Rattus norvegicus: one gene and its partner. The protein of the gene in region 2 purifies or fractionates together with the protein of the main gene of each other region. This does not show direct contact. Links are inferred from orthologs where the notes say so. Each region holds a gene or a part of one and is shown on either strand. Other genes may lie near its edges.

What was found.
Region 1: the proteins of Fam174a (region 2) and Slc39a11 purify together in Homo sapiens (co-immunoprecipitation; 3 studies listed by BioGRID and IntAct, counting the BioPlex papers as one, with this or other methods). This does not show direct contact. The link is inferred for Rattus norvegicus from reciprocal best matches to the Homo sapiens genes FAM174A and SLC39A11.

What each region holds. Positions count from the first base shown.
Region 1 is NC_086028.1:99,068,952-99,072,470, reverse strand, and holds part of Slc39a11 (zinc transporter ZIP11), read left to right. Parts: intron 1-174; coding exon 175-333; intron 334-3,519. UniProt on the Homo sapiens protein: Zinc importer that regulates cytosolic zinc concentrations either via zinc influx from the extracellular compartment or efflux from intracellular organelles such as Golgi apparatus. May transport copper ions as well.
Region 2 is NC_086027.1:103,189,048-103,193,079, reverse strand, and holds the start of Fam174a (membrane protein FAM174A precursor), read right to left. Parts: upstream 2,818-4,032; 5' UTR 2,755-2,817; coding exon 2,321-2,754; intron 1-2,320.

The DNA of each region.
Region 1 (3,519 bases), on a different chromosome or scaffold from region 2:
TTATGGATTGGTTTTTCCACCTCTTGGAAGGTGGAGGACTCCCTCCTCAGAAAGCCTTATGGGCTGGTCTTTCTCCTCGGGGGGGGGGGTGGTGGGAGTGGTATGGGTTATTCCCCTACCCCCTCAAAGCCTTATGGTTGGTTAATGACTAGCTTCTCCCTGTGGTTTCTCCAGGTCATGTTAGCAGCTTCCTATTGGTCGCTGCTTGCACCAGCGGTTGAGATGGCCACCTCCTCAGGGGGCTTTGGTGCCTTCGCCTTCTTCCCAGTGGCCGTAGGCTTCACCCTGGGAGCTGCTTTTGTCTACCTGGCTGACCTCCTGATGCCCCACCTGGTGAGTATCGTTGTCCCACTCCGGGAAGCAGATTTCTCTCTGCTTGCCTTGCTGGATCCATTCCTACCTCAGGTGGTTGGTGGAGTCTAAACAGACAGGTTGTTAGAAGGAGTGAATGGTGATTCCTTCCATCAAGAAAGCACCCAGCCGCCTGTTAGCATGACTAATTCCTCGCTGTTCACTCCTTGCTGAGTTCAGATTTTGAATGTCAGATGTGTAAATGGTAGCCATTGTGGAGTGCTCACGTACATTTACGTGAGCAACCGGAACGGGGGAGGGGGGGAGAGGCTTAGGCTCATGGTTCTAGGAGAGCTTGAGAGCTGACAGAGTCATCAGGGAAATAACAACACAGCCAAAGATAGAAAGACCTTTACAAGTTCCTCACATACACCCAGGTTAACAGGAAGTGGCAGGTGGAGGGGGAGTCTGAGAGGTCGGAGTTCACCTCTGACATTTATGGCCACGTGTTCTCTGAGCTCCAGGTTTCCCCTCCCTACCATCCGGAGACTGTAAGATGTGAACCGTAACAAAAAACATCAGTGTTGGGGAGAACCAGAGCTATCGAGCTTCCGGGTGGGAACCAGGCAGGTGGTTTGGGCTTGGTTTGAGCATCCCTTTCTGACTTGAACTGCTTGGCCAAGCAGAGAGCCAAGGCCAGGCTGTGTGTCGGCAGCCAGAAGAAGCCTTTAGTAAACTCTTGTTACCACAGCACATGCTATTGGCAGAGCAGATAAGGGTTGATGTCATTCACAGGGTGGGATGTGTGTCAGGTCCCCGTACCACATACCTGCTCACATACCTAGATGGAAGGACCTCCAGGTTGGTGCCTGGCTTCACTGCTCACCCAGAAAGGGGAGGGGTATGTGAGAAAAGTGAGATTGTTTTTCTGTTAGATGGAGTCGGGAATGTGCTCCAGTACACAGTGGAACCGCCCTTGTGTGTATTCTCTCCCTCTGCTTCTCCTGTATCCCCTCCCTTATATATTCTCTTGCCCTTCCCTCCTCTCTCCCTGTCTGTCTTCTTCCCTCCCTCCTTCCCTATTTCCTTTTGCCTCCTTTCTTCCTTCCTTTCTATGTAACCCAGGCTAGCCCTGAACTCACAGTCTTCCTGCTTCAACTCCCAAACGCTGGGACTTCAGGCCAGTGCATCCATGTCTGAGCCTTTCCTCCTGTCTCACCTTAAATGACCAGCTCGAGAGAGGGAAGGTTGATCTAGATCGCTGGGCCTGGGGCTGCCACAAGACTTATCACTTGCAGGGCACACGTACTCGAACACATCCCCTGGACCTAGTCGGATGCGACGGCCGCACGGCCGACTGGCGATAGTTTCCTAAGGAACCACCATCTGTCAGCTGCTGTCTTTCCTCTGGAAGCTTGAATGGCAGAGTCTGTTTTTGCCCCCTGGACCTTTGGTTTCTTTGCTGTCAGATCTAACTGTATGTGCTGGTGGCTTTTAGAAACCATCACGGGGAGCTGAGGATTCTTAGAACTGTCTGGCCGTGTGTCAACTTCTCTTTGGGAGATTTCCCACTCATACGGGAAGGAAAGTCATGGCCAGAGGGGCCCACACTGCTGAGCAGTGGTTTGAAGTGGCCGCCTCAGTGGCTCTACACTGCCCTTGCTTGCCTCCCATTCTGCTTGCTTACTAGGGCCACCTGGGCTCCTAAGCCAGTCTCTCATTCAGGGCCCTCCAGTCGTGATTGGCCAGCCTTACTGGGACCTGGGAGAGGGGGGGAATGGTGAGGGGACCAGGCTTGGCGGCAGGTGTATTTGACCAGCTGCGTGAGCAGAGGGGATTTCTCTGGGCAGTGTAAATACTCATTGGCTACTTTGTATCGTGCTGCGTGCTGCGTGCTTTCTTTGTTGTTATTGTTAATCTTTGGCTTGTGTTTGTTTTAATTAATCTGTGCTTTAGATACAGAGATGCTTCGGGGCAAGCTCTGGGTAGATAATACAGAAAGTCAGAAATGATTGCGGAGTGGACGCTAAAGGCTGTGGGGTGGGGTTTCGGAAGGGCTGAGAAAGAGGCGCCCTAACCTTCGGTGCCCAGACCTCACTCGTTGGCAGAAGATTCAGTAAACATCTGACCTGGAACACTGGAGCAGAAATTAATTGCTACTCTTAATGGGAGAATGGGGACGCGTCTCAGAAGGTCTCACAAATAGGCAGGCTTTGTTTCTGATCACTCTAGCTTCTGAATGCGAATGTCTGCAGAGTCGTGCGCAGAAGTAGCCTGCTGCCCTGCACTTGGAGACGGGCTAAAGGTTTCCCTCCCGTGTCTCTGTTAATTTGCTTCCCAGACCTGAAAAGGGCTGCAACTTGGCCCTTCCACAGGTGCCACGTGGAGTGCCAATTAATGGTTTTTGATGACGGAATCCCTGTGGTTATCCCATATCGACTGAGCACGGGCAGGGTATGGACCTTCTGGGTCAGCGAGACTTGATTCCCTGGAAGCCTACTGCTCCCGGAACTTGGGAGCCAATGGCTTTTGAGGCTGTGGGGAGATTGGGGGGGGGGTGCAGGTGCGTTTAACTTGAGTCCTCTTCAGTTTTTAATCCATTGAGCCTTACCGCAGAGTCAGAGCGGGCAGTCAGTGGTCCTGGAAGAGCAGGGGGAGGCAGGAAGCCAGAAAGCCCTTGGTATTGGCTGGCTGGCCTTCCCATGTATGCCCGTGCGTGCCTGGGAATGGAATCTTGTTTTCCATCACCCACAGTGTGTTCTCCCCCTCTTCCCATTTCCCTTTGGGCGTCTGACATCTTAAAGAGACTGCAGGAGAGGCTGGAGTGGGAAGAGGAAGCAGCAGGTGCTTGTGGCTCTCTGTGGCTCTCCTGCGTGTGAAACTGTATGTCCCAGCCTGAGCACGCTCTGAGTGGGAGTAGAGGGCACCAGCTTCCTCCCTGGTTCTGTTATGTCTCCAGTGTCTATCAGGTCTCCTTGTGTCGGCCAGGAGATCTGTCTCGTTATAAAAACACCACTATGTGGGACAGTCACGCACAGCACGCTCGTGCTGGGGACAGTTTTTGGAGGGCAGGAGCTGCTTCGAGGAACTACCTGTGATTGATGTCTGAAGTGACATGTTGCGAGAGGCAAACTTTGACCACCAGAGGGGTGCTTGCACGTATCTCTGTCCTTTGTGGATGTTCTCCACCGCTAACACTCTTCATGCGCATCTACAAAGACCGAGAGA
Region 2 (4,032 bases):
CCTTATATGAAGTTTAATTTGCTCCTACGGTACTCCAGCGATGTATTCAAGTTCCTCTACAGAAAGAATGTCACTGCTTGGAGTAATTCTATACTGCCAAAATAAGTTATTTCTACCCAAGTATTTGTGATGCTGAGTTAGATTAAGACAAAACATTTTCAAAGTCTCGTAGAGTTTGACATAATAAAATTTCCCAATGAAAATAATCAGTTTGTCCCCACGTCATCGGTTATGGAAATGGTTCGGGAACGGACTCCTCGACACAAATAAGCCTCTCTGGTTCTCTGTCACACATATTTTGGGAAAGGCGCCAGAGTGAGCAACCACCATAATGAGGATAAAAAGCACAATCTGGAAGGAAAGAGGAAGAGTTCTGGATATACCCAGATTTAGTCAGCATCAACTAAGCTTTGGATGTTAGACAGCCAACTAAATGTAGAACTTGAAGTACACCAACGGGTTAGACGCTGCCTGAAGTATGCAGTTTTTATCAGCAACAGTGCTAAATCTGGCTCTCTCTTCTCATACCACAGGATACGGAATCATCCGAGAATCAGAAAAGGGTGAGTCCTTTCAAGATGTACTGAAAGGAACACAGAGAGGTGATAGCAGTGACCATTTTTACAGAAGATGCCAAGTAAGGGAGGACAAAATAAAAACACAAGAACAAGCAGCACGTCAAGGAAATGGTCAGTATAGCCATGCTTTCTATAAAGGATAACATGGTCCTGACAGGAATTATGCACAGTATTAAATAAAAACTACATAGTAAAAATGATTTAATTCTCCGCTAAGATTTCTTAAGTCTCACTTTGGTGGTCGTAAGCTTTTAATAACTTCTGAATACTAACTTCCCAGTGACAAAGTGACAAGTTTTCTGAACTTTGTAAATCAACAGTTTCTAGCTCAATGACACTGTTTATGTGAGGCGCTCTTAAGTGCTTTAAATTCCTTTCCATTCTTAAAACTTATTAAAGAATTCGGGAGGCTATGTAGATTCTGACCTGATCTGAACAAAGAAAACACTTGATTTAAAAACCTTAACCCTTAAGTTAGCTGTTCTTAAAACCAAAAATAGTGAAAAGAATGACTTTTTTTGTCTTCAAAAATCTATTTAACATTTGGCCTAAACCATGTATAAAAAATAAAAAAATGGGAAAAAGGAAAAGATACCATAGACTGTAAAATTTTTGTCTGCATCCAATCATTTGTAATATTTGGTTAATGGATATAAAGAAAATCCACCAGCAAGAACGTATCACCTTGGCAAAGAAGGGATCAATTTAATACACAATTTTTGATTGTTCTTTAAGAAGATATACAACACTAACTAGACAGGGCGGACTTCCTTGCTATCAGTTTCAATGTAGAATTTCAAACCTTACCAGTAAAGTGTTTGTATTTTATACACTTGTAAGATAATGTATTATTTGGAAAACAAATGTAAAACTGTAGCTAATGAAGATGTGTAAAAGGAACAAATTCTGTAAGATTCTTTGAGACAAGTCATGTTGGTTTTCCATTCACAAACACCTTTTAAAAACACTAAATTCTGTTTTGGGGATTTAAAGACATATTAACTAATGCAGTGTGTAGTTATGGGGAAAGTGTGAAGTAATTTGGAAAACAGGAAATAAATAAACCAGTACAAATCTCACAAAATACCATCTGTTCTTACTTTAGGGAAAGGAAAAACCATTAGCTTTTCCACAGCTGTTCTCTTGGCTACCCCCTTCTGGTGGGGTCTTCTCTATTTGATACCTCTCCAGAGATGTAGTACCCAATAAACTGAGTACAAGTTACTTAGGGATAGATCAAGGGCTCCATCTAAGAAACACAACTGGTAAGTTTTGCAGAAGTGAAAGGTCCGTTAGGTCTTTCTGCTTTTACTTTCGTGGTACCCTGACTGACAAATAGGACTGCATTCTAACAGGCGACAGCACTGACAGGTGAGTTACACCAAGTGCAGAGTAGTATGTAAAGTATCGCACAGCAGTGTTGTCAAAATTTCAGGGGATGGGAGAGCACTTCCACTTCGGGGTATATTAAGGCAGAGGCAAGTCTCAGAGAGCAAGATGCTGAAGGTAGGTTACTGAATTACAGATGAAAGGCAACAGCTGGTGTCACCTGCTAAGGTAGCACAGGCCATTAAGACAGCCAACCAGAAGGTCCTAGATTCCAGCCCCTGACGCTGGGGACTGGGGACCAGAGAAGGGGGTGAGTGAAGCCCAGGTTACAAACATTCTCCCTGCTTCACACAGCAGGCCTCCTGTCAGCCAGCTCTAGGCCTCAGGGGATGCCCATCGAGGCTATGCCTCACCTGACGGTCCTGACCACGAAGTACACCAGCACCGCGGCGCTCACCACCACCAACACGGTCAGGGCCCTTTGGGTCATGGGCTTGTCGCTAGGATTGGGACTCACGGCCAGGCTGCCACCCAGAGAGCTTTCTCCGGCCTTCCCTTCAGGACCGTCCGCCTCGGACGCCGCCCCGGGAATGCTGCCATTGCGGCTCTCCGCGCCTCGCGGCCCGGCGCCTTCAGACTGAGCTTGGCCTCGCGGCTGGGCCGCGGTGGGTCCGGGAGGCAGCGGCGACAACGTACGCGGCCCGGGTTCGAGAGGCTTGGACTCCTGCACCGCCCTGGGCACAGTCGACGGTAGCACCACGGACTGGTTCAGCGCGGGCAGCAACAGCAGCACGAAAGCCGAGGCCAGGAAGTGGCAAGGCCCGGAGCAGCCGCGCCGGGTCGGCATGGTCTCCACGCCGGCCTCTCAGCACGCCGCAGCCGCCGGGCCGGCCTCCCGGTCCGCAGCGCCGACCATGGGCGCGCCGGAACCGCAGAGCCCACTCTCCGGCGGAGAGCAGGTGGCTGAGACTGCGCCGGGCGGCTTCGGCGGCGGCGGCAGCGGCGGCCTGCGGGGACAACCGGAAGTTCGTACATCTCCGCAGCCACTGCTGCTACGGACGCCTCCGGTTGCTAATATGTAGGGGCGGGCCGCGCTCAGTGACGTCAGGGTGTTCGAGCCTATTGCGCACGCGTGGCTGTGGGACCCTCAGCCGGGCGGTCTATTCCAGGCTTTCCATTCTTCATGAGTCTTCCTATTAGTGAGACAGCTAGGCTGGAATGGGTCACCTGAACAAGACGAAAGAATGTGGGGAAACGTGAGCGATACCAAACTCGCTTTAATTTCCTTGATGCCGAACTTCCAAACTGCACCTAATCAGTAAACACTAGCTCTCTCTTACAAACTTTAAAGAGAGCTTTTCCTAGCTTTAAGGGTTCCGACTTTCCTTGGAATCTTTTACTTTAGAAAATGTAGAGTTATTTATTCCGATTCTCCTCCTTTAAAATGTAAATATTTGTAAAATAAAACCCTCTTGTCGGTTTCCAGGGACCTACAGTCATTCTTTTGAAATATGTCCCTATTTACTAGTTTCTGCTTATGGGGTGCCTTAAGCTGCAAAACTATCCCAGGACTTAATAGAAGACCGAAAGTTTGCATATTAACTTAGCAAACACATAAGGCTGTATTTTCAGAACTTGAGATCAAAGTTTTGTACTCTTACATTTGAATAAAGTTGTCTTTATCTACGATTTCCATCAAGTAACACTGACACAAAGCAGACACCTGCTTGGGGCACTGGGAAAGGGATTGAATATAAATATGCTTAGTTTTTTTCTTGAGCTTTCTTTCAGTTTTATAATAGACAGAATTTTAGCTTTCTCAAACATCTGTCAAGAGTCAGTTACTTAAGACTGGAACTATAATATAGTCCATGTCCTGGTAGCTCTCAGGATCACTCTGAAGACCCGCAGTAGCTACTGAGGACTTATGAAAGTATTCAGTGTGGATTCTTTCTCTTGCCCTCACCCTCCTGTGTCTTGTTTTGTGACCTTAGGACACAGGTTAATTGAGAGTGAAGTCATCATGACTTGAAATACTATTTCCTTTTGGACAAGAGCCATTAGAAAGTGAAAAATCTTTCATGTCCTTAAAAAAAAAAAATCACAGCTGAAGACATGTTCTAGA